2 linked regions of the Diceros bicornis minor genome follow. The protein of the gene in region 1 interacts with the protein of each later gene in a biochemical or structural test. Links are inferred from orthologs where the notes say so. Each region holds a gene or a part of one and is shown on either strand. Other genes may lie near its edges.

Region 1 (14,976 bases):
ACCAGCAAGCAGTGTGGAACAGTGGTCACGGGCTGGCTTTGTTGCCATGGGCAGGTTACTGCATCTCTTTAAGCCTTGATTTACCCATATACGTGCTGGAGAGAACAACAGTAACTTACTCCAAAGAGAAGCTGGGAAGATTAAAGAAGACAAGTGATCAGCACAGCACCAGGCAGAAGCTCTCAGATGAGGCTCGAGTCCATTTCTCCTTCCAGGTGGCCTGGGCTCAGGAGGGTTCCTGAAGGAGTAGCCAGGAGGGGAATACGTAAGCAAGGTGAGAATAGCTCCAGTTGGCCAATGGGACCATGGCTTTTCTTCCTTGGTGCACTTAGCATAGCAGGTTATCAATAAAGTGGCTTGTTTGAAACTGAAAGAGCGCTTCTTATTTGCCTTCCAGACCATTCAAGTCTTCTTTGATGCCATGCAATCTCTCTGCACAGAGCTACCTCTCTCAGGTTCTTGTCTATTTTTGCCTGAGTAAGGTACCCCAGACTGCCGGAGAGGTACTGAGGCCTGAGGGTGCTGGCAGAGGGAGCCTTCTTCTGAGAGCCCACTGTCCCTGGAGTCACATGTGGGCAAACTGAGCTTGCTCCCAGGCCAACTTGCTCAAACTAGTCAGCAAATCTAACCCTGCTGCTCACAAATGTTTACTGCAGGCCTATTATGTGCCCTGATGGTCTAGTGGTTGAGATTCCACGCTCTCACCACTGCGGCCGGGGTTTCTTCCCCGGTCAGGGAACCACACTATCTGTCTGTCGGTTGTCATACTGTGGCGACTGCATGTTGCTCTGATGCTGAAAGCTGTGCCACCAGGATTTTAAATACCAGCAGGGCCACCCATGGTGGACAGGTTTCAGTGGAGCTTCCAGATTAAGACAGACTAGGAAGAAGGACCTGGCCATGTACTTCTGAAAAAAGGGGCCATGAAAACCCTATGAATAGCAGTGGAGCATTGTCTGATACAGCGCCAGAAGGTGAGAGGACGGAGCAAAAATACAGCACAGGGTTCTGCTCTGCTGTACACAGAGTCGCCGGGAGTTGGAATTGACTAGATGGCACTAACAACAACAAAAATTGTGTGCAAGTCATGGCCCTAAACGCCCTGTGGCCACCCGTGAATGCCCATGAATGCAGACGTGGTAGAGTTCCACAGAGGTTAAGACAGACCCAAGCGAAAGTCTTGACTCTCCCACTCGCCAGCTGTGTCACCTTAGCACGTTGCTCAAACCTCACTGAGCCTCAGTTTCCCATCTGTAAAAGGAACATAACAGTGGTTCCCATCTCACCAGGATGTGGCAGGTCTGGGTGGCCACGTGGGCCATGTACTCAGCACGGCACCTGGTATAACTGAGCTGAGCATTCAGTGAGTAGCTGTTCCTGGAGCTACAACTCCAGTGCCAGCAGGTGGCACACACTGGGTGTGTCACCAGCAAAGCCTTGGGCCTCCTGGGTGCCCCACAGTGCCTGGAATGTCACATCTTGCATAACACCTCAAAGCTTCAATCTGTCATCAGGAGGCCAGTGAGAGGCAGCAGCTTCCCAGGAACTGGCTGCCGGGTCCTGCCCAAACTCCACTTTCCCGCTGGTGCAGCTGCCCACGCCCTGCTCAGGACCAAGACTCTCCCTGTGCAGAATGGGGACTTTGTGTGGTATCCGATTCTGGGAACACTGCTTGGTCTATTCCTTGGCGTGGGACCTGCAGGGCAGGTTTGCAAAAGCATGACACACACTCAGACTCCCCAAGTGCCTGCTGCTTCTACCTCTTGCTCCCGCCATTTACCGACCAGCCACCTCCTCCTACCCCTGCCAGCCCAGGGGGTCTCTCCCCTTCCCCCTCCCCACAAGTTACCTCAAAGGGCGAGACTTCCCAAGAAGGCTTCACCTGCCCTTTTCATTTGTTGCTGATGAGAATGATTTCCTTCCTGCCACAGCAGACAGAGTCATTACGAAGTCATTAGAAGATTCCACCTCACCACGCCCAACACCCCAATCACTCACACACCCGACCTCTGGGGACTCTCCAGGGAGCCTGCCCCGAGCATCTGGACCAAGAAGACCAAGGATTCAGAAGGGGGGCAGTTTCTCTTCCACACGTCACCACGGCAGGATGCAGTTGCTGCCACCAACGCCTATAGCTTGGGTTGAGCAAGAACAGTCTGTCCCCACCCTGGACCATTTCCCCAATAGTCCGACCAGACTGGAGAGTCAGACTCCAGTGTCCAAAGGAACTGACCCCATCTGCTGCTAAGAAGCTTCTCTCTGGCTCTGACCTCCACTTTGCTTAACATTTCCCAGGAACCCGATTACAAGTGACCTGTGCCCTTTTCCCACATGGGCGAGGTTTGACTACCTTGCCCTTCCTGGTTGTTTACCTGCTTTAGAGCTGGACTTTCTTGGGGGATGGTGTGGCCCCCAGAGGTCTGGAAGCTGGACAGACAAAATGAAGAGGCTGCAGATATGGGGAAGAGGGAAGAGGAAGCATGAGATTATGTCTTGGCTCCAGTATGAACCCCAATTCCCCTAGGGGCAGCTGAAGGGGAGCTGGCAGGCCTTCCTGTCCCTGTCTGAGGTACGGGTGGGGCAGGAAAACCAAAGGCGAGGCCAGTCACTAGTCAAGGGTGAAGGGAAGTCGCACGAGCAGTAGGCTGGGTCCTGGGAGAGAGTGGCTGGGAGCAGCGCTGCCCTCAAGGATAAGACTGCAATTGGCTGCACCCCAGGGAGCAGGCTGGGGTGTTGAGGCTGCCCTCAGAATGAAGCAACCCCCATCTTCCCCTCATCATTAAGCACTACCCCCATCTTCTTCTCCTCATTAAACCCACACCCACCCATCTTCTCTTCATCACTGTGGCCTCCACTGGGTTTGGAGTGGTGTTCACTAGAATGACTGAATGTTCCAGTTTGCTCTGGACAGTTTTGGTTTATCTCTAATGTCCCCACATAACTATAAATAGCGTCCCCTTTCACTCTCAAAAGTATCCCAGTTTGGACAATAAATTAGATGGTCACTGTCTCTAGCCCATCTAGGAGGGCACTGACACAGGAGACGTGCACGGAGGAATCAGAGGAAAGCATAACTAAAAACAACGCCCTGAAGGTCCAGAGCCACAGCCAGCAGCTGTGTCCAGCTAGATCCTCTCAGAACCAGACAGTAATGGAGAGAGAGCCCGAGAGTGCTGCCCACCCTGGGGTTCAGACCGTCTCAGGGGAAGAGGTCTGGTCTCGTGGGTTCTGCTTCCTGTCATCCCTCGGAGGGCCGAGCACCATGCTGGGCATACAAGACGCTCCTAATCAAATCCCATTATTTCCTTACTTCCCTCTTCCTGCTTCCAAAACAGACTTGCAGCAGCTACAAATGGAAAGCTGGAGTCCTAGAATCATCCTGTCCAGCAACAAACCGGCATGCCGTCCTACCTCAGAGTCTCCAGTGCCCCTGACTCTGACTCTCCAGCCACTAGAACCCGACTAGGCCACGGCAGGTTTCTAGCAGAGGTTCCAGAGGCAGCTCTTGACCAGGAGGTCGCTGCCCCCATAGGATGTGGGGTAAAGAACTGAACGACTGGGACTCCCTGTCCTGTCTTGGATAGCCACTTGGTCTGGCCCACTAGGCCCCAGGCCTTCCTCCAAACATGGAAGACATTGGTTTTGCACACTGGCTATTTGTTCTGAGAGTGGAGGGTGGGGGTCCAAGAGGTCCTCTTGGTGCTTCCTCCAGGACTTAGTTCTAAAAAGAGGATCAGTCTGAGGTTGAGTAAGGGGAGAAGACTGAGAAACCATAAACACAAATCACCAAGGCACCCCAAACAGCACCAGACTTTCCACAATTTTTTTTTGTGTGTGAGGAAGGTCAGCCCTGAGCTAACATCCATGCTAATCCTCCTCTTTTTGCTGAGGAAGACTGGCTCTGAGCTAACATCTATTGCCAATCCTCCTCCTTTTCTGTTTCCCCAAAACCCCAGTAGACAGTTGTATGTCATGGTTGCACATCCTTCTAGTTGCTGTATGTGGGATGCGGCCTCAGCATGGCCAGAGAAGCAGTGCGTCGGTGCGTGCCCGGGATCCGAACCCGGGCCGCCAGTAGCGGAGCACGCGCACTTAACCACTAAGCCACGGGGCCGGCCCTCCACAATATTTATACAAATGACGAGTGACTACCTTAGCTGAAGAACTGAGAGGGGTCGAGAAAGCTTCCTAACTCTCTTCCTTATCCCACTCTCCAGTTCTTCCTTTACCCTGGAAAGGGTCCAAGTTGTGGCTGACCAGGGACCAGCCAAACCAAAGCCATGGGACCCAGCCAGGGCACAGACTGTGAATTCCCCAGCTTTTTACAGTTTGAGTCAGCTCCACAGCCTGGTTGTGGATTCTTCTCAAATAGGTCCAGAGAGGCCACTGAGTAGGGGGCAATCAGCTCTGGGGCTCCTATTGCTGCTCAAGGATCTGAAGCACCCAAAACAAAGGCCAGAGAAAAATTTGCAGTCTTACTACCTCCTGGTCTGGCTGCACATCAGTCCTGACACCATTTCAGAAGGACCCACAACCCCCTCCAGCACTTGGACAGGGACCGATTGAGGAACGTCCCCCAGCACAAAACACTCTCAGTTCATAGAGTTGAGGATCTGGGGTCCAGATAATCCATTCCCGCCTTAGCAAACCACCCCCACTTCCTAGCCTGAGTTAAAAACCTTCTTTGCCAACACCATGGCTTCCCTAGTCCCAGAACCTTCCCGATTTCTTGTGCACAGCCACCTCACTAACAGACGTCGGCTGCTAACAAGATCACTCGGCAGAAATGGAATGAGGGGCTGGAAAATCTGCAGTGCTGGGATGCCCCTCCTGATCTTAGGAGAAGGATAAGAGATGTGGATTTACCACAAAGCCATAATCCCTTCACACTCAACCTCTTCTGGAATCATACCATAGCCATCCCATTATCATTGCCATGTTGGGTGTCCCCTTCAGGAGTGGCCACACCAGCCACGAGGAAAACGGCCTTCCAGCAGGGAGCAGAAGCAGAGCTGAACTCTGCCCAGGAGAGCTTCTGCAAAGCTCAGAAAATGCCTGCCCAACTGCTTGCCTGGGCTCTGGCCCCTCTGGCTGCAACTGAGCCCAGACAGGAGGCTGACTCACTCACCACATGGAGGAGGAGGAAGAGGAGGTGGAGAAGGAGGAGGAGGAGATGCGGGAAGGGCCCGGGCTCAGAGACCCAGGGCTGTCCCAGCCCAGGCAGCCTGGGTCTCAGCCTCAGTGGTCCATGGGGGGAGGGGGGCCAATGTCCACTGCTCCCTCGAGACAGCATGCTGTTCCCTCCTAGATACTTCCCCTGAATCCTCCTCACCCTCCACCCACAAAGGTGGGGTCCCTCACTCCCCAAACAGAACTTACTCCCTGAGCCCCTCCTTGCTTAGATGCTTGCCCCTGAGTTCCTCTGGACATCTAGGGACAGGCTCTCCTGAAAAAATAAATCCAGTGCACTAGGGCCAACTAGGTCTAAAATCATTAGTGGTTAAAAAAAAAAAAAAAAGAAAAAAGCTCTACTTAAAAGATCCAACTCTACCATTGCAAGTGATCATCCTTGGGTCCTACGAAATAATAAGGCTACACACACTCCACCCCTAGGACATCTTAGCACCATCGACAGCCAATCTCTCCCTTTCTCTTCCTCCACTCCATGCCAGGGCGCCCCGACAGAGGAAGGAAACAAATGCTTCTTGTTGCCCAAGTGCTGGGAAGTGTGCTAGTGGAGCATTTCTGCGTTAGGCTGCCTGAGCGCGGAGGAAGTCGCTGCTCCCCTGGCCAGCCTGGCTCGAACTTCAGCTCTTTCTCAGACCTCGGTGTCCCCTCAGTGCCCCAGCCTCATGGCACGACAGCCCGGATCTCAGTCGCCAAGTTTGCCCCTGCGACTTAGATTCTAGTGTTTGCACCCGGGCACTCAGGCCCACTATCCCCGACGCCCCCAGCCCGGGCCCAATCCCGAGCCTGGGACCCCCTTCCCCGCCGCTCCGGGGTCCGCACCTGGTCTGGCGGGTGGGCACGCTGCTCCGCGCTGCTGGCGCCTCTGGCTCGGCTGCTGCCTTTTGACAAGCAGAGACAGCCCAGCACCTGGCCCCGCCCCTTGCAAGGCCCCGCCCCTGGTCCCGCCCCTTCCCTGGGCCCCGCCCCCAGGTCCAGTCCCAGCTTGCCCGGCGCTCCAGCCGCGCTGCAACCATCTTGACTTGGAATCAACCACTGCACCGTCGCCTGGAGGCTCTGCCCGGTGTGGTCCTCCACGACTGCCGTCCGTAGGGCAAGGCAGGCTTCTGCCCTCCGTGCATGAGAGTTTTCCATGGTTATGTGTGTGCAGGTCCATGCTTCTGCCTGCGTTGATCCGGGATGCATTCCTATCCCCCACCCCCACACCCCATCCCCGCTGCCGTGGTTCTACCCAGCCTGCTGCGGACGCCTCTTCCAGGTGTGTCACCCGCACCTAGGCTGACCCGGCCAGGACTCCTCCGTCGTCTGGGGGGCGCTGGGGTGGCGGGCGGCTGTCGCGGACACCAACGGTTCCCTCCGCGCTCGTGGGAAATCCCGGGCGCCACTCGCCGCCGTGTTAATGCTACAGAGCGCCAGGGAGCCCAGCCCGACCCCACACGCTAGGATAAAAGAGTAAACGGAAAACGGAGTCTGAAGTTGCGTCATCGCCCCCGCCCGATGTCCTCTCGGCCGCGATCGTGGCTGACCACGTTCCCGGTGCGTCGCGAACCTCATCCAAGCGAGCACAGTCTCAACTTCCCCAGGCCCTGGTCCCCAGCCCCCCCCATCCCCCTACCCGACATGGGTGTGAAGAAAGGAGGGAGGTAAGGAGTACATCCTGAGACCTGGAATTGTAGGTGGATGCGGAAAACTCGCCATAAAAAATTTTGGCTAAAAATTACTCTACTCCAATTGCTTCCATGGCAATGTACTAGGCACCACTCTAGATGCTACAGGATAGATGAAAAAGACATGGTTCCCTCCTTCTTCCACCTCATTGTCCAGTAGGAGAATGTATAAGTTTTAAACAGTGCTTACAACATAATGTTCTACAATGGAGATGCCCACAAGGTCATCCAGCATTGGTGACCTCCTTTAGGCAGGGAAGATATTGCCATTCACTTTTTACAGAAGAGGAAACCATGGCTCAGAGGGACAAGCTAAATAGGGGGAAATTGAGGCATAGAGAGGTTAAGTGATTTGCCCAACATTACACAGCCATTCAATGAAGGACAGTACTAGAGCCCAGCAAGTCCGCTGGTGCCCTGGCCTCTGAAACAGTTATGCTAGACTGTCTGATAACCAGTCCCTCTCAAACTCTCAATAATCGGACCAAGAGAAATGGACTGAAGCTAAACAGAAGGCAGAAGCTTCAAACAGTGAAGTGTGTTAACCACTGAAACAGTTCATTAAGGGAGTAGTGTGGAAACTGTCTCTCTGGAAAGGTTTAAGAAAAATAGAAGAGACACAGATTGTTTGATTGAACTTGGGAATGGACCATCTATTCTGAGCAACAGATGAAGGACGTGCCCCTTTGGAGGTTCTGTCTGTCTGATGGATGGATTCTCTGCTTGTAATGAAAGTAAAAGAAAAAAATCCCCTTGCCCAAAGCATCACGGGAAAGCTAGCAGTGATTCTCATGGCAAAAAAAGTATAAGAGGAAATCTCTAGCAGTCAACACCTCGGGACATTCTCAGGAAGTTCCATGAGCCTCTGTAAGAGGTTGATCACTCAGGAGCCACTTTTGTGGTGCTTAATTGGCCAGATGGGTGACCCAGGCATCTTAAAAATAAACCTTATCAAAAAGTAGTAGAGGGGGCCGGCCCGGTGCTGTAGTGAAGTTCCCATGCTCTGCTTCGGCAGCCTGGGGTTTGCAGGTTCAGAACCTCGGGTGTGGACCTATGCACCGCTGATTAAGACATGCTGTGTTGGCGTCCCATATATAAAATAGAGGAAGGTGGGCACGGATGTTAGCTCAGGGCTAATCTTCCTCAGCAAAAAAAAAAAAAAAAAGTCATAGCGGATGAGTACTAACTATTCCATGGTAACTGACTGTTAGTGTCTTTTCACAGCTCTCCATTTGATGTCCATCATGACCTTTTGAGTCAGACGGAGTAGAAAATACTCTCCTCATTGTACCACTGATGTACAGAGTTGTTGAAGTTCTTACGGCGGGAGAGTGACAGAGCCACTTGAGCCCAGGACTTCTCTCTGCACTTTCCACTGTTCCATGCTGCCTCCCCCCCAAAAAATATTTCTTTGGGCTTTTCACCTGTTGGACCACAATCTAGGTAAGCAAGCTTTGGAAAACTCAGAGGTTCTGGATTTGGCAGATTTGCAGGATATAGGTTTCATTACAGCCCCTAGCACATGCTGTCATCAGCCCCATCCCTGTGTCCTTAACCAAGTTCTGTTCATCTTCCCCCAGTACCTGAGGGGAAGATGAACTGCTCTCTCTCCTCTGTCTCTCCAGACCCTGTTCTCTTTCAGGCCCTGTCTATCACATCAGGCCTCTCACCACATCTCCAGGCCAAAATGACCTGTCAACTCTCTGGTCTTTGTAGCATGTGTTGTCTATATTGCTTGGTTTGTCACCTAATAATGAATCATCTTGTATTTATATTGAACAAAGGTAGATTTTTCACTTCAGCTTTATTCTTAGGAAGAATTTTAATTTTGTGAAAGTAGAGAAGCAGGAATACATGAGATTCACTTCTCCCGCTTTTGTTGTTATTACTCCCTGTCTCCTGATCTTGCTTCTCCCTAGCCAGGGACTGGGAAGGGAGGTTGCTATCCATATTCTGTTCTTGTGAAGACTTTGATGACAGGCAGCAGTCCTGTGCTACAGAATTAATAGCTTTCAACTCCTCTAGCTTGACTGCTGCAGGACACATGTACCAGAACCTCTGGAAACACTCATCTTCTCTTTCTTTTCCCTGAAGTTAACAGTTCTTGTTTTCTCACTTGTCCCTGGGAGGGGTGGTGGTCCTTATAGGATGTTCAGATTGTGTTTTTTGTCAGTATTCATCTCTGAAAAATTATATCAGGGAATATCTACTAGGCGCTTGCGGTGTGTAGGATACCATGCTATAGACTCAACAGTCTGTGCAGAAACAAAAGAGCCCTTCCAGGTGTGACCTCCCTAGGAGGAGAGATTCCAGAGATGCCAGGCTGAGTCCACCCCTGTGCACTTCATTTCACAAAATCTGGGGAAAGGCAGAGTCTGGCTTCTCAGCCTCTCTACCAGGCTCTGGGTGCCTGCGGGTGGCCTGGGCAGGCCTGCAGTCAGGCCACAGGGCTGCACCTTATCCTTAGCAGATGAGCTCCTCTTTTCTGCAGCCTGGTCACTGTCCTCAAGGCTGGCTGGCACCCTCAGAACCTCTTGCCATGGTGCCAGAGCTGGAGTGGATCACCTTGTCCCTGTGAGGTTCCCGGAGACCCTGTCCCCATGGACAGAGGTTTATAAGCTCTCCAGAGGCTGCTCTCCAGGTAAAAAGGTGCCCTTTGAGCTCTCTCTGGAGCACTCCCATCTAACTGTTTGCTTTTCCCTTTTTTAGGGCCTTTTTTTCTCCTTAAATATTTTATGGTTATGGGCATGGTGGGAATGAAGGGAAGACTCTAATTCAGCAAACTCCCAAAGAACATTCTGAGAGACACAGAGTCATGGATTCATAGAGACAGAAGCCACCAGGCCGTCCTCTCAGTCAGTTCCCTTGTTTTAGAGATTAAAAAAATATTAAGTCCGGAAAGGTTAACTTATCTATCTTTTCTAACCCCTGTTAGGACTGTTCTCTCTGCTTATGTTCCAGATGGTGAAAGTGGAATGAATGAATGGAAAAAACTATAAGCAATGAAATCAACCTAAACAAAAGGGTCTTCCTAGAATAATGTTTTTCAAATTTTTAACTGTAACCCATAGTAAGAAATAAGTTTTTATCATGATCTCGTATACCATGCATGTATATAAATTTTATGAAACAAGAAATGCTCTGTGAGGTTTTTTATTTTATTTTATTTTTTTTATTTATTTTTTTTTTTGTGAGGAGATCAGCCCTGAGCTAACATCCGCCAATCCTCCTCTTTTTTTGCTGAGGAAGACGGCCCTGGGCTAACATCCGTGCCCATCTTCCTCCACTTTATATGGGACGCCGCCACAGCATGGCTTACCAAGCAGTGCGTCGGTGCGCGCCCGGGATCCGAACCAGCGAACCCCGGGCCGCCGCAGCGGAGCGCGCGCACCTAACCGCTTGCGCCACCGGGCCGGCCCCTGTGAGGTTTTTTATTTTGTCTCCTCCTTCCTTCCTTCCTTCCTTCCTTCCTTCCTTCCTTCCTTCCTTCCTTCCTTCCTTCCTTCCTTCCTTCCTTCTTTCCTCCCTCCCTCCCTTCCTTCCATCTTTCTTTTGGGGATCCACCAAGTTGATTTCACAACTCACAATGGGTTGTGACCCGAAGTTTGAAAAAGTCCCTCTCACCGTGGGAATCCTCTCAATTAGAACCTGCAACATGAGATTCCCAGACAGGCCTTCGAGAGACCAGCCTCACTTACACAGAGCACCCTCAGAACCCCGTAGTGGCTCCCTGGCTTTGGAGGATCCTGCCTCCAAGGCGGCAAGGCCAGGGTTGGTCACTGAGGCAGTATGTGTCCACTCAATGTTTGCCTGTGTGGCCTTAACTCAGCTGTTATCTTACCATGCTCTGTATTCACCAGCTTGGGGGGATTCTTTCAGCCTCAGGATGCTTCATGGCATCTCAGAAATCCTGACTTCTCAAGAACGAGACAGCCCTAGGAGAGTTGTGTGCAAGGCCATAAGAAGTGAATATCCACAGACTCAGCCTGCCCCAGAAAGAGTAGGGCACCGCCGGTTTTTCAATCCAAATCGGCCTGGCTCCAGGCCTCCATTCCCGGTGGCCCAGCTCATGTCTCCCTCCTCGGGGCTTTTGGCACTTGTCTTTCCCACCTGCTCCCACATCCTCGAGCCCTAGGCTGCCAGCCTGCTGGCCCACACACAGCGTCTGCAGGCATGGTAAAGCAGAGCCTAGGGGCCAGACAAAGGAAGGTGTAGACTCCCCCCTCCACCTCTAAGCAGAAGCAGCTCCAGAGCTCTCCTAGGCTCCCAGGTATTTGCTGGGCTCCCATCCAAACCCCAGCAACAATGATGACTCTTCCAGCCCCAACTCCAACCATAGAGATCCATGGAATAAACAAGAGGCTTGGGGTTCTTTCTACATCTATTGCCGTGGCTGTAAGTTTTGCAACAACTATGACTCCAGTAGGAGATAAAGTGACCCCTAACCCTTGGGGAATTCTTATTTTGCTCTTCTGGGGAAAAGCGTCTTATGGGAGAGCCTAGGGAGGGAGGTAAGTGGAGAGGCTCTGCGGCATGGGGGTAGGTACCCTGGGCGCTGATTACGGTGCAGTTAATGTCACATCACTGCTGAAGAGGTCAGTAGGGAAAAGCTGACTGTTTTCAAAAGAAGCCCCCCTTCCCCAAAGGAAAGTCTCCAGGGAAGATGATTAGGCAATGATCTCCTTTCTTCATACCAATGAACAGAAGCCCTGCAAGCCTCATCCTGGGCACGCCTGTGTCTTTCTCCAGAAGAACAGGAAGGACACTCCGTCAGCAGCCCAGGAATGCGTTAAACAACTCTTCCCTGGGGCCCCAACTCCAGAAGATGTGGCTGTTGACAGCTCTTCTCCATTGCCTTTGGCCTCTAGCCTGAGATAAACATACTACAAAGCACGGATGCCCCTCTCTGTTGTGTTTGCCTCCATTGTCCTGTGTTGTGAAAGATGTCACCATTGTCAAAACTGTTGTTTTTGGTGTCCACCTCCACTTCCAGCGGGGTTTACTCTGGAGTAAATGACAGTGGAGTTGTGTTGTTTTGTATCATCTACACATCCCAGAGCCAAGAAGTGGTCTCTAAACTTGATTGATTGTAAAACTCTACTGGCAAAAAAAAAAATTTGAATATGATTTTCAAAATTCTATCATTAGCTCATATCTCGTCATACTATACAGTTAGGGTGAGATTCCTCATTAACATTAATGAATGTAAATTCATATTTCAAATGATGTTGTTGATACTTTTGCAACTTTTTACTGACTTCCCTGACACTCCTTCCTCACACACAGAGACCTCATCCAGCATACCTGACCCGTGACTTTCTGATAAGAGGACCAAGTGAGGGTGCTGGTGTCAGTCTGTATATTAAACATATTAAAGCTTAATTTTTTTAAGACAAAAAAACAAATCAAAAAGGAAGCCTTTGATACTGTCCTCCTGTACCCAGTGGATCATGTAACGCATCCTCCCTTGCAGACCTCAGTGGGATTTAGACCCAGAGGGTTCAGCAAGTTTAGGTGACCCACCTACGTTTATGATTGGTGAGCTGCAAAGCAGGGACTAGAAACCAAGTCTACTGCCTTGACATCCACGTCTCACTCTTTCCATCACCCTGAAACTCCTCTTCCCTCTGCTTCGTGGAGAAATGGAAGCACACTGTGTATCGGTGAGAATCTCTTGAAGGCTGAGAAGCTAAATTCTTTGACCCGCTTGGCTTATTTAAGCAGAGCCTGAGGCGAGGTCCAGGTAGAATTCCACTATGGTCTGTAACTGGGACCACAGCTGCCAATAGTCTCATGCCACAGTCCCCCAACCAGATTCAAGGAGAGAGGCAAACAGGACAGGCTCTCTGAGCAGTGGCAACCAGCAGGAAAAGGTGTGGTGGCCATTTGTGGGTAAGCTTGGCCACCACCAAGGACCTTCCTTCAACCCACATTCTCGAGGAGAGTTGTCGCTCATTTGGGGTTCCTGGAACCTGGGGAGGAGGGGTGTCCAGCTTGACTGACCTCTGAGTGGAAGCTGCCAAGCCCAGAAAGAATGTGGCGAAGAGGCCTGAACCATCAGGGGTTTCCATCCCTTCTTCACAGGCCCTACCTCAGTGGAAGGTTTTAACCTTTAACTCTCCTTCTGCCAACTCTTCTTCTCTGTCTGAACAAGCCAAGTACTCCCTTGAACTTTCTTTCCTGCCCTCCCTCTGCTCCCCAGTGTCCCTCACATACCTCTGTACCTTATTCATCACCAGGCTCCTCATCTGTCAGGTGCTGGGAAGTTTAAGGGCCATCCAGAGCTGATGGTCAGGAGTCTTTGACTTGGACCTACCCAGGTAGGAGAATAATATCCCACTTGCTGACACTCCCCCGCATTCTCCCTGCCTTTCCCTCTGATGAAACCCAAAATGTGCATGAGGATGGGTCGAGAGAGAACATTTAAGCAAGTAGTTCGGGTGCCCCGTCATGAAAATGCCAGCTATTGGCTCCTTGCAGGGTTGGGATGGAGATGTTGAGCAGGGTGCTGTCCTTGAAGTAATCTCGATATCCCACTTCCCTGTCCCCTTTTTTTTCTTTAACAATTTTATTGAGGTCATACTGGTTTATAACATTGTGTAATTTCAGGTATACATTATTATATATCAGTTTCTGTTTAGACTGCATTGTGCTCACCACCAATAGTCTAGTTTTCATCCGTCACCATACATATGTGCCCCTTTATCCCTTTCATCCACTCCTCCCACCCACTTCCCCTCTGGTAACCACTAATCTCTTCTCTTTATCTGTGTGTTAGTTTATCTTCCACATATGAGTGAAATCATATGGTGTTTGTCTTTCTCAGTCTGGCTTATTTTGCTTAACATAACACCCTCAAGGTCCATCCATGTTGTTGCAAAGGGGCCGATTTTGTCATTTTTGTGGCTGAGTAGTATTCCATTGTGTGTGTGTGTGTGTGTGTGTGTATATATATACCCCACATCTTTATCCATTCATCAGTTGATGGGCAGTTGGGTTGCTCCTACATCTTGGCTATCGTGAATAGTGCTTCAGTGATGTAGGGGTGCATAAATCTCTTTGTATGGTTGATTTCATGTTCTTTGGATAAATACCCAGTAGTGGGATAGCTGGATTGTATGGAATTTCTATTTTTAATTTGTTGAAAAATCTCCATACTGTTTTCTATAGTGGCTGCACCAGGTTACATTCCCACCAGCAATGTATGAGGATTCCGTTTTCTCCACATCCTCACCAACATTTGTTATTTTTTGTCTTGTTAATTATAGCCATTCTGACAGGTGTAAGGTGATATCTCATTGTAGTTTTGATTTACATTTCCCTAATAATTAGTGATGTTGAACATCTTTTCATGTGCTTCTTGGACCTCTGTACATCTTTTTTGGAAAAATGTCTGTTCATATCCAATGCCCATTTTTTGATTGGGTTGTTTGTTTTATTGTTGTTGAGTTGTATGAGTTCTTTATATATTTTGGAAATTAACCCCTTGTAGGATATATGATTTGCAAATATTTTTTCCCAGTAGGTGGGTTGTCTTTTCAGTTTGTTCATGGTTTCCTTTGCTTTGCAGAAGATTTTTAGTCTGATGTAGTCCCATTTGGTTATTTTTTCTTTTGTTTCCCTTGCATGAGTAGACATGGTATTCAAAAAGATGCTGCTAAGACCAATGTCAAAGAGTGTACTGCCTATATTTTCTTCTGGGAGTTTTATGGTTTCAGGTCTTACATTCAAGTCTTTACTCCATTTTGAGTTAATTTTTGTGTATGGTGTAAGATAATGGTCTACTTTCATTCTTTTGCATGTAGCTGTCCAGTTTTCCCAACCCCATTTATTGAAAAGACTTTCCTTTCTCCATTGTATGTTCTTGGCTCCTTTGTCAAAGATTAGCTGTCCACAGATGTGTGGTTTTATTTCTGGGCTCTTGGCTCTGTTTCATTGATTTGTATGCCTGTTTTCTTGTGCCAGTACCATGATGTTTTGATTACTATAGCTTTGTAGTATATTTTGAAGTCAGTGATTGTGATGCCTCCAGCTTTGTTCTTTTTTCTCAGGATTGCTTTGGGTATTTGGGTTCCTTTGTTGTTCCATATAAATTTTAGGATTCTTTGTTCTATTTCCATAA
Region 2 (15,684 bases), on another chromosome or scaffold:
GGAGGCATAGGGTGGGCCCTCCACTTCTTTTAAGGGTGGGTAAGGACACAGGTGTGGCCTCTGATCTAGGGAGAGGGAAAGATCTGCTCTAAGGGGCATTGAGCAGTGGTGGCTGAGGTGGGGGCTAGGAGGGGAGGGAGGCTTTCCTGGGGAGAGGCAGCCAAGGAACGGCCACAAACCTTAGAGCAGCCCTTCCCAGGCCCTGTCCCTGCCCTGCCACCTTCGGCTCCCAGATGCTTTCCCACCTGCTCTCTCCCTGGCCCTCCCAGCACCCGCCATGCGGCCACAGGCCACACACAGCCGGTGGCTGCAGCGGGGGCATCTCCAGTGGGTGTTGAAGAGTCCGTGGTGGCAGCGGCTGCAGCAGCGTGGAATGCCTGGGCTGTCGTCTGTCCCGGCTGGCCCCTGTCCTGCTGACCGTGGGAGAGAGCAGGGTCAGAGGGGGCTCAAGCCACAGGCCCCTTTTGATGACCTCATGTGGGAGTCCTCCAGGCAGGGATGGGGAGAAGCAGGGGCAGTTTCCACCGAGGGGCTGCCCCAGAGGGGAGACAGGCCCCCTACAGACACCCTCACTCACTTGGCTGTCCCTGTAAAGAACCTCCCGGCAGCACCGTCGTCTGCAGCAAACCCTCCCAGGGACAGTGCAGGCCTCATCTCCCCAGTTCCTGCGCAGGGAGTCCCCAATGGCCCTGAATTACCAATCCACACCACTTCCAACACATCCCTTCACCACCTCCCTCCCTCACTCCCTCCCACGGTGGTCCTTCTTCAGGGGACTCTGTATGTCAAAAGAAGAAACCTTAGGAGGCCACTCCTTCCCTCACCCAGAGTTTCAGACTAAACTCTCACTGGTTAAGTGGAAGGATGCCAGCGAACACACATTCATTTACTCGTTCAACAAACACCTTGTCTTGTCCCGGGCTGGGTGCTGGGGATTCAGAACTGGTCAGGACTTGGCACTTGCTGTCCCAGCGCTCACATTCCAAGGAGTAGACGGACCCATAAACGTGGCAATGATTATGGCACCATGGGGTGGGTGGGAGAATGAGAACGGGATGGAAGGATGAGGGTGGGGATGTTGGGGCAGCTGCACAAATGGGCCCCGAGTGATGAGTAAGTTTTCATTCACCAGGTAGAACAGGAGGAGAAGGGCATTCCAGACAGTAGGAACGAGAGTGCCAAGGCCCGAGGGCACAGACAAGCTCAGGTGAGCCGAGAAGGAGGGCGGTGTGCCGGGAATCTGGGCTGAGGGAGTGGCAGGGGAGACGGGGCCAGCTGACGAAAGGGAAAGGGGCTGGACTTTCTGGGACAAGAGGGAGCTACCAACAGGCCCCCACCCAGGGAGTGACAGGACCTCAGGTGTGGTACTGTGAAACGGACGCAGGAGGGAGAGCCTCGAGCCAGAGGGACTAGCTAAACGCCTTGTGCTCCACCAGTCTCTAACCTCAGCCCAAACCCTACCAGCCTCCTAGGGCCGTGAGCCTCGCCACCCTGGACGCCTTCCTTATGGCACAAACTTGCAGGGAGCTCCTCTACCCTCGAGAACTCTTAGAGACACTTGGCACTCAGTCTTGTTTCCCCAGCAAGCCCAAAAGCTCTTAGAGAGTTGGGCTGGACCAGGTTTACACCTTCCCAACATCCCCCACCCGGGCCAGAAACTTCAGAATGTGTGTTGACTAAGAGCCTTAGCCGAGAATAAGGGCAAAGCAGGGCAGGAGCTCTCTTGAGTTGGCGGCTGGACAGGCAGTGCTGGTGGGAGGGAAGGGCCCACTCTCTGCTGGCCCATGTTCCTCGTGAAAGCACAGTGATCACAGGACCAGGCCCTCGCAGGGTCCCGAATGCCCTGTGGGTCCTGCTCACCTTCCCGCTGTGCCCAGGCCAGGGCTTCCCGCTCCCTTCGCAGCAGGCGGCACAATCGGTCCCCCAAACCACTTAGCAGGTGCTTGGCAAGGCCCGTGCTGAGCCGGGCCTCCAGGCCAGACCCTCCTCCCTCCTCAGAGCTGGCTGCCGAGTCTTCCTCCTGCTGCTGCTCCCCTCCCAGAGGCAATCTGGAGACAGGGCAGCGGAAGGTGAGGAGGGAGTCCTGAGTAGGAGGATGCTGCAGGCATCCAGGGGCAAGGGCTCACCTCGGTACTTGCTGGGAGTGGCAGGCCAGCCCTCCTGCCTCTCCAGCTGCCTGAGCACAGCTTTGGCACTGAGCAATGCTTGCCGGGGGAGCCGAGCAAGGTGTATCCTGAAGCCCTGGGTCCTGGAGGCTGGCCCTGCCATCTCGGGGTCCTGAGAAGACAATGTAGCTGGTCAGCAGTCTGGGCTCCCTGGGCTTATGCGAACCTCAGGCCCTGCCTTAGCACCCAGCCCGCCCACACACAGAGCCAGCCCAGTCCCTAGGCCCTGGCCTATGATGTCTGGTTGGGAACCAGCGACAGTGAACCAGGCAGCTAGAAGCCTCGTAAATAAGGCTGAGTGGGGAGCCTGACAGTGCTCTGACAGGGACTGCTGGGCCGAGAGGAGGAGTCTGGGTGCTGAGCCCAAGGCTGGGGCAGGTGGGGCAATGGGCCTGCCCCAAATGCAGGATCCAGCCAGTGCAGACTTTGGAGAGGTCCACCGTGGGCTGTGACACCGCTGGCTGCATGACAGCATGAGGAGACAATCCCAATGTGGACGGAAGGTGCCGGAAGGTGAGAAGGCTGGGCAGTTTCAACATAGGCCACAGGTGCAGTAACCCAAGAAGGCGGAGGGGCCAGCAACTTCCCAGCACAGGCAGGGGCCTGGGAGAGAGTGAACAGAGCCATGCCACATGCAGGGGTGCTTAGGCAAGGCCATCAGGAAAGGCCTGGGGCCAGCCTGGTGGCATAGTGGTTAAGTTCACGTGCTCCGCTTTGGCGGCCCAGGGTGCGGGGTTTCAGATCCCGGGCGCGCACCGACGCACTGCTTATCAAGCCACGCTGTGGTGGTGTCCCATATAAAGTAGAGGAAGATGGGCACGGATGTTAGCCCAGGGCCAATCTTCCTCAGCAAAAAAGAGGAGGATTGGCAACGGATATTAGCTCAGGGCTAATCTTCCTCACACACAAAAAAAGAGAGAGTGAGAGAGGCTTGATCCAGGCCCAGAAGTCCAGGAGGCCAAGAAACTGAGGTGATCCTGAAGAACGGAGGCTGGGGCCGGCAGTGCCAGAGCCCTCCGTGAAGGGCACAGTGTAACAGAGGGGTCCAGGATGTGCCCAAGGCCCTAACATTGGCAGAGTCCAAACTGAATTTCCATGATCCCAGCTGGCCAAGAGAGTAGTTCTTTGTTCCTGAGGCAGGACAAAGGGTCCTTCAGGAGACGCAATCCCCCAGATGGGGATTTGTGGCACAAATAATCATAAAGGTGAATGTTTATTGAGTGCTTACTAAGTGCCAGGAATCCTTCAAAGCCCTTTAGGTGAATTAGATCATCTAATCTTCACAGCAGTCTTATGAAGAAACTGAGGCCCAGAGAGGTGAAGTAACCAGCCAGAGGTCACATAGTACCGATCAGCAAAGTCAGGACTCAGCACTCTGACTCAGAGCCCATGCTCTTAACCATGTCATTATACTGCCGCCAACACATCATGGCTTCGGAGGAGGTGAATGGAAACAGACGGCACTTGGTGGAAGGCTCTGGCCTGTAGATGCTAAGGAACTCCCAGAGAGCTATCACAACTGGGAGGGAACTGGACAATGGGGTGTGATCCACTCATAATGGACCTACTGACCCCACCTCCCTGCAAAGCCCCAGTCCTGGCCGCCCCCTCCCACGTAGGGCCCCCTGCAGCCCCTCCCCCGCCCCCTTACCTCTGTGGTCATCACGCTGTTCTGCCTCCGCCTTGTTCCCAAATGACGAGTCCAGCACCTCCCGCCATCCTCTGGCCCCTTGCCCCGTACTGCCTGGGAAACGGTCAGGTGGGCGCTTGGCGGCTGGGCTTCCCACTGCTCCCCAGATCTCAGGGCTGCTTGCCCTCTTGAGGGCCCGCAGCTGGGCAGCTGGGCTCTCCTCATCCCCGGGGCAGCCGCCTGGGCACCCAAACTGCTCAGAGTGTCGTGTGAGCCATGTCTTCTTCAGCTTGGTGTGATGGCTGGGCAGGCAGGCCCTGGGACCAGGGTCCTTGTTTGCTTCCTCGCTGGATTCACTGGGCCCACTGGTGCTTGCCTCCAGGCCCTCCTGGCACTTCCCACAAGAGCCAAGACTTCCATCTCTAGCGGGTGGGCAAGATGAGCAACAGCCCACTTGGGCGGTAGGAGGCCCAGGAGAGGGGCACTTTAATGTGGCTGACGGCCCCAGCTGGTACCCAAGTTTCCCACCCCCTGGGACAGCCCAGATGTTGCCAAGAGTATGAACCAGGCCTGGGGGACAAGTGGGCCAGGAGGTCCCAGGAACAGTGTCTGGATGCCCGAGGAGAAGTGGGCAAAGATTCTGGTGCCTGCCGACTCCTGTCTCTCCATCCCTCTGGTGGAGTGAAGGGCGTTCCACCTCCCCAGTTCTCTGGAGATGCCCACCAAGGGCTGAGCCCAACAACCCAGCTTCTGTAGTTGGCAACGGCTCCTTTGCCAGCCTGAGAATGCTTGGATCCTTGTGGTAAAAGCCCTACAGAGAGGAGAAGGGATTAAGCCAGTGCTGATTTTGGTTCCCAGTGCTTAAAAGGATGAGTAGAACTGACCACCAGCAGGTGTGCACCTGTGTGGCCTTAAGGGTTGTGAAAATACCAAAGGACTCACATACTGGTTAATCAGTACTGCTCTCCTAAGTGCCTCTTCACTGCCCTAATGACCCCCAGACCTCCCCACAATCCAGCAACTAAAAGGCTAATGGCTAGCACAGCCAAAGGGCCTCTAGAATCTATTCAGATTGTCTGATGCCCTGTACCATACTGGGTTTTAAATATTTTAAATCTCATCCCTGGCATGAAGGTCGCCTCTGGGGGAGGTGCCGTAGACATAGACCATGGGGCCACCCGCACATCCCACTCCTGGAAGGAAGGCCCTGTTTGCCCTCCTCAGGGCAAGACCACATGTTCTGAGGCCCTGTTCCCAGGGCCTTGTCCTGGGCAGACAATGGGTGAGTCAGTGCCCGAAGAGGCCCGAAGGCAGGGAAGGCCTCGTGAGATGGAGCTGCTCAGGGGGGAACTGCCTGGGGTTGACTTTGTCTGAGCTGACAGGCTCCTCTACTGGGTGCTGCCTTATCTTTTCGTCGGAATGGACAGGCCGAGTGGCGCAGCCCTGGCAGGGCTGCTCAAGGACCGCTGAGCTACCTTGCGTGGCCTGAGCCCCAGGTACCTTCTCTGCTCCAACACTCACCTTGCTTCCTAAGCTGAAAGCAGAGGGCACTTTGGGCTGGTCCCCCAAGTACACCCAGGGGTGTGGAGCCACAGGCCAGTCACATGGACGTTCTGGTGGCAGGCTGGACACTAGGTGGGGTGGTAGGCAGGTGGGCACCCAGAAGGGGGCTCGCTCCAGGATCTTGGTCTCCAGAAGGAAGGGGCAGTGCAAGGGCCGGAAGGCCACAGTGTCACTCTTGGGATGGCCACCGCTATGCTCAGGAAGCAGGGGGCCACAGCAAGGTGGGGACGTGGACCCGCAGAATGCCAGGGGATGGGTGAGCACAGCTTCCTTCCAGCGCAGCCCCTCCTTGCCACCTGGCCAGCTGGCCTCCCTCTCCCTATTCTGGCGGCCTTCACCCTCCACCAGTGGGATCGTGTCCTTGGGGCTCTGGGGGAAGCCAGGGGGAAGCCAGGAGCCTGGGGTGCTCAGGAACCCCCTCCAGAAGGGAGCGGGCTCTCCTAGGCACAGCGTCCCACGGCGCAGGCTCTCTCGCAGCTGAGTATCCAGCTCCTGTCTCACGATGCCGTTCTCAGGGGCCGTCTTCTCCCAGGCCGGGGTCTCCTTCAGGAAGCTGGGCATACTCTCCATCACTCTCCTGCCCTCATGGGGCTCTCCCAGAGGAGGTCCCTGGAGCATAAGCACCAAAGCATGAGCTTCTTAGGCACGTGCCTCAAGCAGCCTACTGCCTGGTACAGAGTGGGTACCGCCCTGGCAGCACCCAGGCGGCTCAAACCAGTAAGGCAACTGCCAACCCACAGCTGGGCTCCATGCTGCCTGCTCACACGCAGCTTGAAGGACCCGCCTGGGTGGGATGCTCCAGTGTGGGGAAGTCACTTCTTCCCCCTAATGCCCGGGACTTGACAGCCCGCCTGGGCTCAGCAGAGACTGCCATTTCTAGGATGACATGTTCCAGCCTCGCTGAGCCTGGAACCTGATCAGAAGCCATGGGGAGGGACAGGGGGCAAGAACCCAAAAGATGAGCTTGGAGGAGGGCACTGCAGGAGGAGACAAGAAGGCTGGATCCTGGCTCTGACTCCGTCACCCACTACGTGACCTTGGGCAAGTCACGTCACCCCCCACGGCCTCAGTGTAAAATAAGCCCTGGAAATATGCAGTCTCAGAGGCTTCTTCCCACATTGCAGTCTGTGGTTTTGGGGCACTGCTTGCTCACCGCCACCCCTCCACCCCACCTAGGCGTGTAGGGGTGGGAAGTGCAGGCAGGGCACGCTGGAGTTACTGGGGAGAGGCTCCAGGCAGGGCTGCTGGCTGGTCTCTCTCCCTATACCTGGGCAGCCGGGGAGAGCCCAGGCCTCTTCCCAGCGCTCTACAGTTTCTTGGCTTCTGAAGCCGAGTCCCAGGACAACTGCTGGGAGCTGGGATCTCCACCGCAGCCCCCCGAGGGAAGGAGAGGTGATTAAGAGGCCTCCGCTGGGATGGGTCAAGCTGCCCCAGTCCAGCCGGCAGTGCCAGGGCCAATGGCAGCCGCTGGTAACTGCAGCCTGGCCGGGGGAGGGAAGGAGGCGGGGAAAGCGGGCTGGGCTCCAGAGAGAGGCAAAGGAGGGAAAATTGAACGTGCGTGCAAAGTACCAGGATGACAGGTGGCACCAGAGCCGCAGCGCTCTCAGCGAGGCGCCCTGGGCCAGCTCGGTGAAGCCCCAGAAGGGCGGTTAGGGAGCTCAGGGAGCCGTGATACAGGGCGCTCGCGTTTTCTGGGGCCACCGCTCCAACGCGATCCAGCCCCAGTGGGCATCCTAACTATCAGATGTGTGGCCCAGCCCGAGGAGCACGGAGAAGTCACTCCCTGCGTGTGGCCCGGGGTCGGCTCAAAAGTGCCCGCTACGAGTGTCCCCCAAAGGCAGGCCCCTTGCGCCCCCTCTCCGAGCTTACCCGGGCTTCACGGGACGGGCGCGGCGCCGGCGGCGGCGGTCGTCGTGGCCGGCGGGCGCCCGCTCCCCATGGACCGGCTCCGGGGCCTTCCGTCCGACGGGGGAAGACTCGTTCTCCCGCTCTCTGCTCAGCGCACTCGCGCGCTCTCTCCCCCGGGGCGGCGGGGGCGCTCTAGGACCGCAGGTTAGAGGGATCGGACTCCGGGATCTGCAGGATGCGGCACACGGCGCGGATCGGCCGCACCAGCTTCTGGGCCGAGGCCGTGGGTTGAGCCATGGGACGCCGAGACTCCGTGCTGCGCCGCGGGGAGGGCCGGGCCGGGGCTGGGGAGCGGGTGCCCCCGGAGGGAGAGAGGGAGCCGGGCCGGGGGGAACGCGCGCCCCGGGTTGGAGATGGCCGAGAAGGGGGAAAGGCCGAGGGGCCGGGGGAGGGGATTGTGCCTGGAAGGGGGGCCGATCCCGGGACCCAGGAGAGAGGCACCGGCGAGCGCGCAGCAGGGCGCAGCGCGTCTAATGGAGCGAGAGCGCGGCGGAGAGCGCAGCAGGACCTCTGATCGCCATCGCCAGACGCGCAACTGAGAGTGGGGAAGCTGCTCTGCCGGTTTCCTCCTCCAGCACCCTGCGGGAAACAGGAGCCCGTGATTCGGCGGCCCCGCCTGGGCCTGCCCCCTCCCGGGCCCTGGGGGCTTCCGCCAACGCCCCGGCGATGCCACCGGCTGCGCACAGGGAGAATGAGCCCTTTGTTCACCCCTCCCCCCCACGGCACCCGGGCGCCTGCCGAGAGAGGCTCCCCCGGGGCAGCGTGCCAGCTTCCCAGCAGCCCCACCCTCCCGTGGGCCCGGCCCCGGAGCCTGGCAGGCGGGCAGCACCCCCACTATAGGTGCCAAGCCCGGGAATTGGAGCAAAGGGCGGGAGGGGCCGGACTGGGCCACGGTGGGGCGGGGTGCCCCTCGGGGTGCTCGGGCGAGGCCCCTGGGAGGGGGCAGTGCCAGAGCTGGCAGGGGCAGTGGGGTTCTCGCGAGTCAGTGATGGGCGCTCTGACCCACACCAGCCGCCCCAGGCCTGCTGGACCACTCGCTCCTGGTCCTCTCCAGCTCTGGCACGTGGGCACACCAGGCCAGCCGGTGTCTACCCTGCCTCATCCTCACCTGACCAAGCTGCTGTTTATGTTCCCACCCAAGCTCCCTCTGGCCCAGTGGCGCAGTGTCCTGTGTTAGCAGTTCTGGCAGGGCCTGGGCTCTAGTCTCCCTGCTCTATGGGCCTCGGTTTCACCAAGTGTCTGGAAAGGAGGTGGGTCCTGATGAGCTCTACCACCTGCTCCAGCCCCATGTTCTGGGGGTCTGCCCCATCCTGTGTTCTCAGTGCTTCCAGGCCCAACATTGGAGAGGAGCCCATGGGAGTGGCTCCTGGGAGGGGACAGAGAGGAGGAGAGGAAATGGGAAAGCAGGGCACCCTCCACCCTCCACCAGAGGAAGCATCCTGGCTCCTCTGCGGGGGTGGTTCCACAGCACAGACACAAACAGACAGATTCTAACACACACAGACAGATTCAGACACACACAGAAACCCACACGCCCAACGGGTACTTCCCTTCCCCTCAGGCACCCACCTCCCACCCCGCGACTCCTCTGCCTCTGTGTGGAAGCCATCCTCGGCCTGCCTTCACCAAACCTGGGCAGAGGCAGCACCACCCCACCCAGCCCCATCCCATCGAAGGGATGAGTTCCCGGATGCCTCCAGCCTGGTCCCAGGTCACACCCCTATCCCTGGAGAGGGGAGCCATGAAGAGCCGTGAGGAGCCTTCCTCCCAAGAGACTGGAAAGGAGGCAGTTGAGGGGAAGAGGAGGGGTCCCGAGGAGAGGAGGCCTGAGGGGCTGGCACTGGGCATGACTTGGGTCATGTTGGCATAGATTCACCCAGCCCCTTTGCCTCCCCACAGAGGCCGGTTCTGTGGCAGGGCAGGCTGGTAGGGGTTGTTTACATGACTGAGTTATTAACACTCCCTTCCTCCCCCAGCTCCCCCGAGGGTGGCCTGGACCTGAATGTGCCAGGGGAAATAACTGTGGAGGGTCTAACACGGACTGCAATCCCAAGCCCCTAAGCCCCAGCCTCTGCTCCCAGGCCAGTTCTAGGGTTCAGATGAGGGGCTGGGGTGTGCCTGTGGTCCCCCATCTGTGTCCTCTGGCAGCAGAAGCTTGTGGGAGAGTGGGGGAGGGGGGTAGATTCCTGCCGCTTGGGGCCTACATGAGGCTGGGCAGGGCAGGATAGGAGCCTGGGCTGTCTGGGGCCCTGATGGCCTGTCACTATCATCCCCAAAGGGGATAGGGACTGTCCCGGGGGAGCAGGACAGACACCTCCCCCCACCCCACCCCCAGTTGCTCTGTCTGCTTTGTTAGGTCACAGTCTCTGGCCTAGACCAGGAATCTCAGGACAGGCTTCTGAAATGCCCAGGGGCCATGGGGGGTGGGTGGGCGGAAGAAGCCCCTTTCCATCCTCAACCAGCTCCCAATCCTGCTCCCCAGGCCACTGAGCCTTGTAGCCGGCTGTTCTGTGCCTGAAGACAGAGCAAAGCTGAGGAGACACACGAAAGACAAACACACAAGGAAAGCCACACATGCGTGGACACAATGCTGGATTCGTGGACCAGCAAGCTGACCAGCGCCCCCAGCCGCGCGTGGGCCCTTCCCCGGCCCACCTCGACCCCACCCCGACTCCTGGAGCGCTGACACACACACGCTAATACACACATTCATGCTGACACGCGCAGCAGCAGTCAGAGCCACTGCCCTGGCACTGTCCCCAGAGCCCCTTACCTGGGCAAGCACTGTGCCCCTCGGGTGGAGCAGCCCCCTGCCCAAGGGAGGGCAGCAGGCGGGGGCGGGGGAAGGAGCCCCGGAGAGTCAGGCCAAGCTGCCACTAATCCAGGCAGGGAGGAGGGGGGTACCCACGTCAGAGCGGGGACTGCCGGGTGGAGGGCATCTGAGGACATCCCCTCCCACACACGCGGCCGTCTGGGCACCTAGCCCTGCTTCCACAGCCCCTCCATCCTTCAGACAGCTGAGGCTGGCCTCCCCCCACCCCACCCCCCACCCTTGTGGCAATGCCTGGGGTGCGGGCAAGGGGGAGGGGGAGTATTGAGGGGAATTCTCCTAGGCCCTGGGGGAGGGGGAGAGGAAGGGAAGTGTGGAGATGCTCCTGGAGCCAGGAGGAAGCTCTGTAGCCGATGCCCCCTCCCCTCTCGCCCACCCAACCCAGGTCCCTGACCTAATTCCTCTTCTCAGTGGAACCTTCCCAGTGCCCCTCCTCCACCCCCCAACCTCCCCTCCCCTGCGATCCAACCACCCAGGCCCCAGGCCCAGGACCTTCTGCCTAACAACGCCAGCTCTGGCCCCCTGGATTTCCTGAGCAGCAGGCATCATCCTCCTGCCTGGATTCTGCCCCCTACCCAGCTATTGGCATGGCAGTCCCTGATGTGGGTGGGGGACAAGGGATGAGAGCCTGAGTGCTCATGTCCTCAACCTCCTCAAGGGTGGGGCAGTGCCAGCTAGGACTCCCCAACTCAGCCTGGGCCAGGGCCGTGTTTAAACAAGAAGCTAACTACATAGCCACCACTGAGAATAGCAGCTAAAAACACAGCAATGGGGCCAGCGCACGTGGAGGAGGCCAGGATATGGAGGGGCCACAGCCTGAGAGGGGCCAAAGAGGCAGGGAGAGAAAGGAGCCACCTGACAGGTCCAAGGGATGGTGGGCTGTGGGGAGGAGGGAAAAGGAAGGCTAGAATGAAGGGCCACCTGCACCTGGGAACCTGGGGGCAGTGGAGGAGGCCCTCAGAAGCAGGCAAGGCGGGTGCGGAGGCCGAAGAGTGAGCCCACAACCTGAGTGGGGCTGGTACCTAGGCCAAGCAGAGGTCTGTGATTCCAAGGGGGCTGGCCGAGGCTGCTTCATCTCCCTACCCAGTGCCCAGCCTGGAGCCTGGCACACCTGTGCTCCAGGCCAGTTGGAATGGAGGTCCAGCCCTGAGCCTGCCTGGGGACGCAGTGGACACACTGGAGGATAACAGAAGGTTGGAGGCTGTAGTCAGGCCAGAGCACAGCCTACCCTCCCCTACGGGTCAGGCCAGAGAGGATGAAGCCTGGGCCAGGAACCCCATGCAGAGGGAGGCAGTGCTGGGCAGACGTTTCAGTGATTCTCAAAGAGACAGGGCAGCCTCTGAGGGAAGCCCAGCCCACACCCAATGCCCCAGTCCCAGGATCATGTGTATGCATGGCCAGAACAGCCCCAGAACTTGGAATTCTCCTTGCCCCTTCTCCTCTGGCCCCAGGATGTCTCACAACCCACAGGACTGCAGCAGTCATTCGCCTGTGGTGGGCACCAAGGAGATGCAGGGCGCGAAGATGGAAGCACAGGCCGTCCCCGCCTTGACGAGCTTACACTTACTCATGGATTTGTTCTTTTACCAGCAAACTGTCACCGAGCCCTCTTAGGTGTCAGGCCCTGTGCCAGGCACTGTGGGGTGACTACTGGAGTCAGGCAGGTTAACGAATGATTACAAGGTGCTTCTAGTCCCACCCTGGGGAAGGCGGCGGAGCCTCACGGAGGAGGTGATGCTGGAGCTCAGAAGTCAGAGAACAAGTGGGCCATCACCAGCCACACATGTACTACAGTTTCACTTTGGCTAAACCAGCATTTGTTCCAGGCTGGAATACAAGTGAATAAGGTGCAAGTCTGTTCTTCATGCAGTCACAGTGCAGTACGGGAGAAAACACCATATGCTCAAGGCAGAAATGGGTCCGTGCAGGGGCAGAGGCGGCGTGGTCTGGATGAGCAATCAACGCAAGGGGGCAGGGGAGTGCTTACAGGAGGGCTTCCTGGGGGAAGTGATGTCTGAGTGGGGTTCAAAGGGCAAATAGGAAAAGAACAGTTGGGTGGGGGAGGAAGAGCATGCCAGGGGAACAGCATGAAGCCACGAGATAGTGGCGATTAATGAGGTGGGGAACACGGAGCAATTCACCTGCGGAGGAGGCCAGTTGGGAGGGGAGGGAAGGGCGATGGGCACACCAGCACAGCCCATGGCATTGTGTGCCCTGGACAGGGTGAGCAGGCCAGAGATCAGGAGCCTTAGGAGCTTGAGGAGGGGTTGACAAGTCAGGGAAGGCTCAGAGAAAGCAGATCTTGAAGGAAGGCCAACGGGCCTGGAAAGAAAGACTGTTTGGAGGGCAGGAGACTCATACGGCTGGAGCAAAGGCCTGGAGGCTGATGCTGGGATGATTGTGCTGTGCTCAGGAGAGAGATAGGAGCAGCGTGGCCAAAGGAGGAGCTATGGGGCAGCAGGGGCAGCAGGGCCAGTGAGGAAGCTGCGGGGTGAGGTGGAGATCACGGACCTGAGGAAGCATCACCAGTTCAGCCCTGGGGCCAAGTGACCCTGGGAATGAGGGCAGGGGAAGCCCTAGCTTCCATGGAAGTTCCCTCACCACCCCACAACTTCAGGCCTCCCCCCAGCTCCCTCTTCCTTTGAAGTTTTGTTTCATTCTGCCTGTTCATCACACGCTCCTCTGTTTTGTTCTCCCAGTTCAGGGCTGTGGATCTTGCCATTCCACCTCTATCAAGGCAACTTCTGGACAGGCTTGCATCAGGAGACAGGGCCCCGACTCACAGGCAGCACAACCGTGGACAAGTTGCTGCACTTCTCTGAGTCTCAGTTTTTCCACCTGTAAAATGGGTATAACCCTACCTAACAGGCTTTTTGTGGATAATTCAAGGAAATTATCTCTGTAAAATGCCCAGCACAAGGTCATGCACACAACCTATGTTTGATACATGCTAGTCTCTTTCTCCTTGCTTCCCAGGCAAGAAACATCTCATTTACTTTAGTCCTGCACAGTGGTTAAGTACACTGACTCTGAAGCCAGACTGGCTGGTTCAAAGCTTAATTCTGCCACTTACTAGCTGTGTGACCTCAGGCAAATTACTTGCCCTCCTGGTGCCTGTTTTCCCATTTGTAAAATAGAGATGATAATAGTACAGACCTCTCAAAATTGTTGTGAGGATTAAATTAATATGTGTCAGGGGCTTAGAGCAGCACATTCTTGGTGCCAGCCGTTACTAGACTTTGCATCCCCAGTATCTCGAAACATGCCTGGTACCTGGTGGACACTCAATAAGGATGTTTCGAATGAATAAATGAAGAGATAAGGGATGCAAGGGAATGCCAAGAGAGTAAGTCATTGACCACCAACATGTGAGGAGCTAAACCACCGGGGCAGATTAAGTGCCTCCCCCAAGTGAAACCCAGATAATCCCCACACCAGGAGTTAATCCACCCTCCTGAGGCCACTCCCGGTTACCACATCCAGGCGCAGGAGAGGGCAGAGCCGGCACCACTGCTCCAGGAATTAGAGGAGGGGATGGAGTGGAGCCAGCCCAGGCCAAGAGCCTGGGTCTCAGGAGAACAGAGGAGACTCATGGATGGGGCAGGCTGAGGACCGATGACCACGAGCAGCAGGGAGGAGCAGCAGGGAGGAGCAACGGTGGGGGCGCCATTGGAGGCTGGGTCAGAGTTCCCCATCGTCCCTCCAGCCAGCCAGTGGCCAGGCCCCTACAGGGCACGGCTCTGGCCAGCCTCCAAGCCCCGCCCTCCTTGACCTGGAAGCTGGGGGCAGCCCACACCCTGGCAGCTGCTGCCCTCTCGCGGCTACTCCACAGACATGCAATGCTCCCAATGTTACTTGCGTGTTTACAGGAACTCAATGCTCCTCCCCCACAAAAGCGCCTAGAGACCCCCCTCAGGCACATGGAGGAAATTGGGCTCCCCAGGCCTAATCTGAGCACAGATCCAGCTAATCCCCACAGGATTATCATGCTGCCTACACACCTTCGCTCCCACTGGTTTCTACTTCCCGTCAAGGTCCAATCCTATCTCCCCCTGACTGCGGTCTTCTTAGACTCTGATCTCTCTCAGGGCTGGGCCCCGACTCTCCCATCTGTGTTCTCAGAGGTCTCCGAGAGCTTTCCATGACAGTACTTGCTGCATCACAACTATTTTGTCAATGGCAATCTCCCCCAGAAGACTGGGCCCCTCTGGCAGTCTGCCCCTTTAGCCCCGGTCCTAGGCCGGGACTGGCCTGTAGCAGGCTGTTAAATAACGTGTGCTGTGAGGACTGGGAATACAAACCAGGAGAAACAGAACACTTTCATGTATTTAGTTATCAAAACCTGAACAAACCTGACCTCATCCACCAACACAAAACATACAACCAGGACACACACACAAGGCCTTGGAGAAGGCTGTCAAGTACTTTGAAGGACAGGAAGGAATGAACAGAGCTGGGTGGGCTTTTGGTTTCATTTGCAGGGTCTGGGGAGGGCTGTGGTCCCACACCTGGGAAGGTAGAGGAATGAGAAAGGCAATAAATAGAACCGTGGTCCCAGCCTGCTTTGGTACATTTGGGTGCATCCCCGTGCATGGCCCCGACAGCACCTGCCTCTGGGCCTGAACCAACAGCAGGAGCTGGGAGGGCAGAGCCTGGGCAGCTGGTGCAGACAGGCCAGACATGCAGCCAGAGGTCCCCTCCAAATAGCCCTCAGCACCCTGCAGGGCACGAGGGCCGGGCTCTGCAGACCCTAGCTGTCCACGTCTGAGGGCATGGTCTTTTTCTTTGTCCGGACCTTTAGGGAGCGTGAGGTGCCCTGGGGGAGAGAGAGCAGGCACACCATGAGAGGTCTGGGCTGAAGTGCCAGGGCTGCCGCCCCCCTTGCGTCTTCCTTGCCACTGACCTCCCGAACCAGCGGCTTCTTCTTGCTCACACGCAGGCTCTGGCTGCGGCTCAGAGGCTTCTCTCGGTGGGGCCGGGTTGACGGCTGAGGGACTACCTCTGTATCCGACCAACACTCACCCTCCGTGTCACTGTCCTGGAGGTCCACTGCCCGGTACCCTGTGTGGAGGTGAGGGAGGCCAGAAGGCTAAGCTGCGCATTTACACTGTCTGAAGGCCTGGGGCCAGCCAGGCCTTCTTCTAGCCCTGCAGGAAGCCACAGCTTGCATGGAGGAAGCCATTCCTCTTGGGACAGTTGCCCACTCACCGATAGGTGGCCTGCAGCGGGGAACCTGGTCCTCCAGGTAGAGGGGATCCCGGTAGGTGGGGGCAGCAGTGTCGGGGATGGAGCGCAGGTCCTGCATGGAGAAGCTCCGCAGCCTTCCAGCCAGCGCACCCTGACTCTGCAAGGGAGGGGGAGCTCTGCATCACCTGGAGGGAGGAGGAGGGCTCCTAGCAGAAAGGGACCTCCATCAGGGCAGCTACCCAGGGAAGTCAAGGACTGACCCGCAGGTAGTCACTGGGGCACCAGCCCCACAGAAAGCAACTCAGCAAGCTTCTAGCTCTGGGTCTTTGTGGCACCAACAGGAAACGAAGGCCCAGAGAGCAGGAGCGGCTGCTCGCAGAGCCAGGGAAGTCTGGACTTTC

Evidence for each region.
Region 2: the proteins of VDR (region 1) and HR form a complex in vitro, tested with the Homo sapiens proteins (2 studies listed by BioGRID and IntAct). The link is inferred for Diceros bicornis minor from reciprocal best matches to the Homo sapiens genes VDR and HR.

The regions. Positions count from the first base shown.
Region 1 is NC_080756.1:22,009,698-22,024,673, reverse strand, and holds the start of VDR (vitamin D3 receptor), read right to left. Parts: upstream 6,052-14,976; 5' UTR 6,010-6,051; intron 1-6,009.
Region 2 is NC_080750.1:71,719,706-71,735,389, reverse strand, and holds the start of HR (lysine-specific demethylase hairless), read right to left. Parts: upstream 7,289-15,684; 5' UTR 7,228-7,288; intron 5,968-7,227; 5' UTR 5,929-5,967; coding exon 5,317-5,928; intron 4,607-5,316; coding exon 3,817-4,606; intron 2,278-3,816; coding exon 2,127-2,277; intron 2,049-2,126; coding exon 1,861-2,048; intron 414-1,860; coding exon 246-413; intron 1-245. Other genes in the region: protein HRURF, read right to left, coding at 7,399-7,503; REEP4 (receptor expression-enhancing protein 4), read right to left, coding at 14,847-14,912, 15,000-15,157, 15,305-15,440. UniProt on the Homo sapiens protein: Histone demethylase that specifically demethylates both mono- and dimethylated 'Lys-9' of histone H3. May act as a transcription regulator controlling hair biology (via targeting of collagens), neural activity, and cell cycle.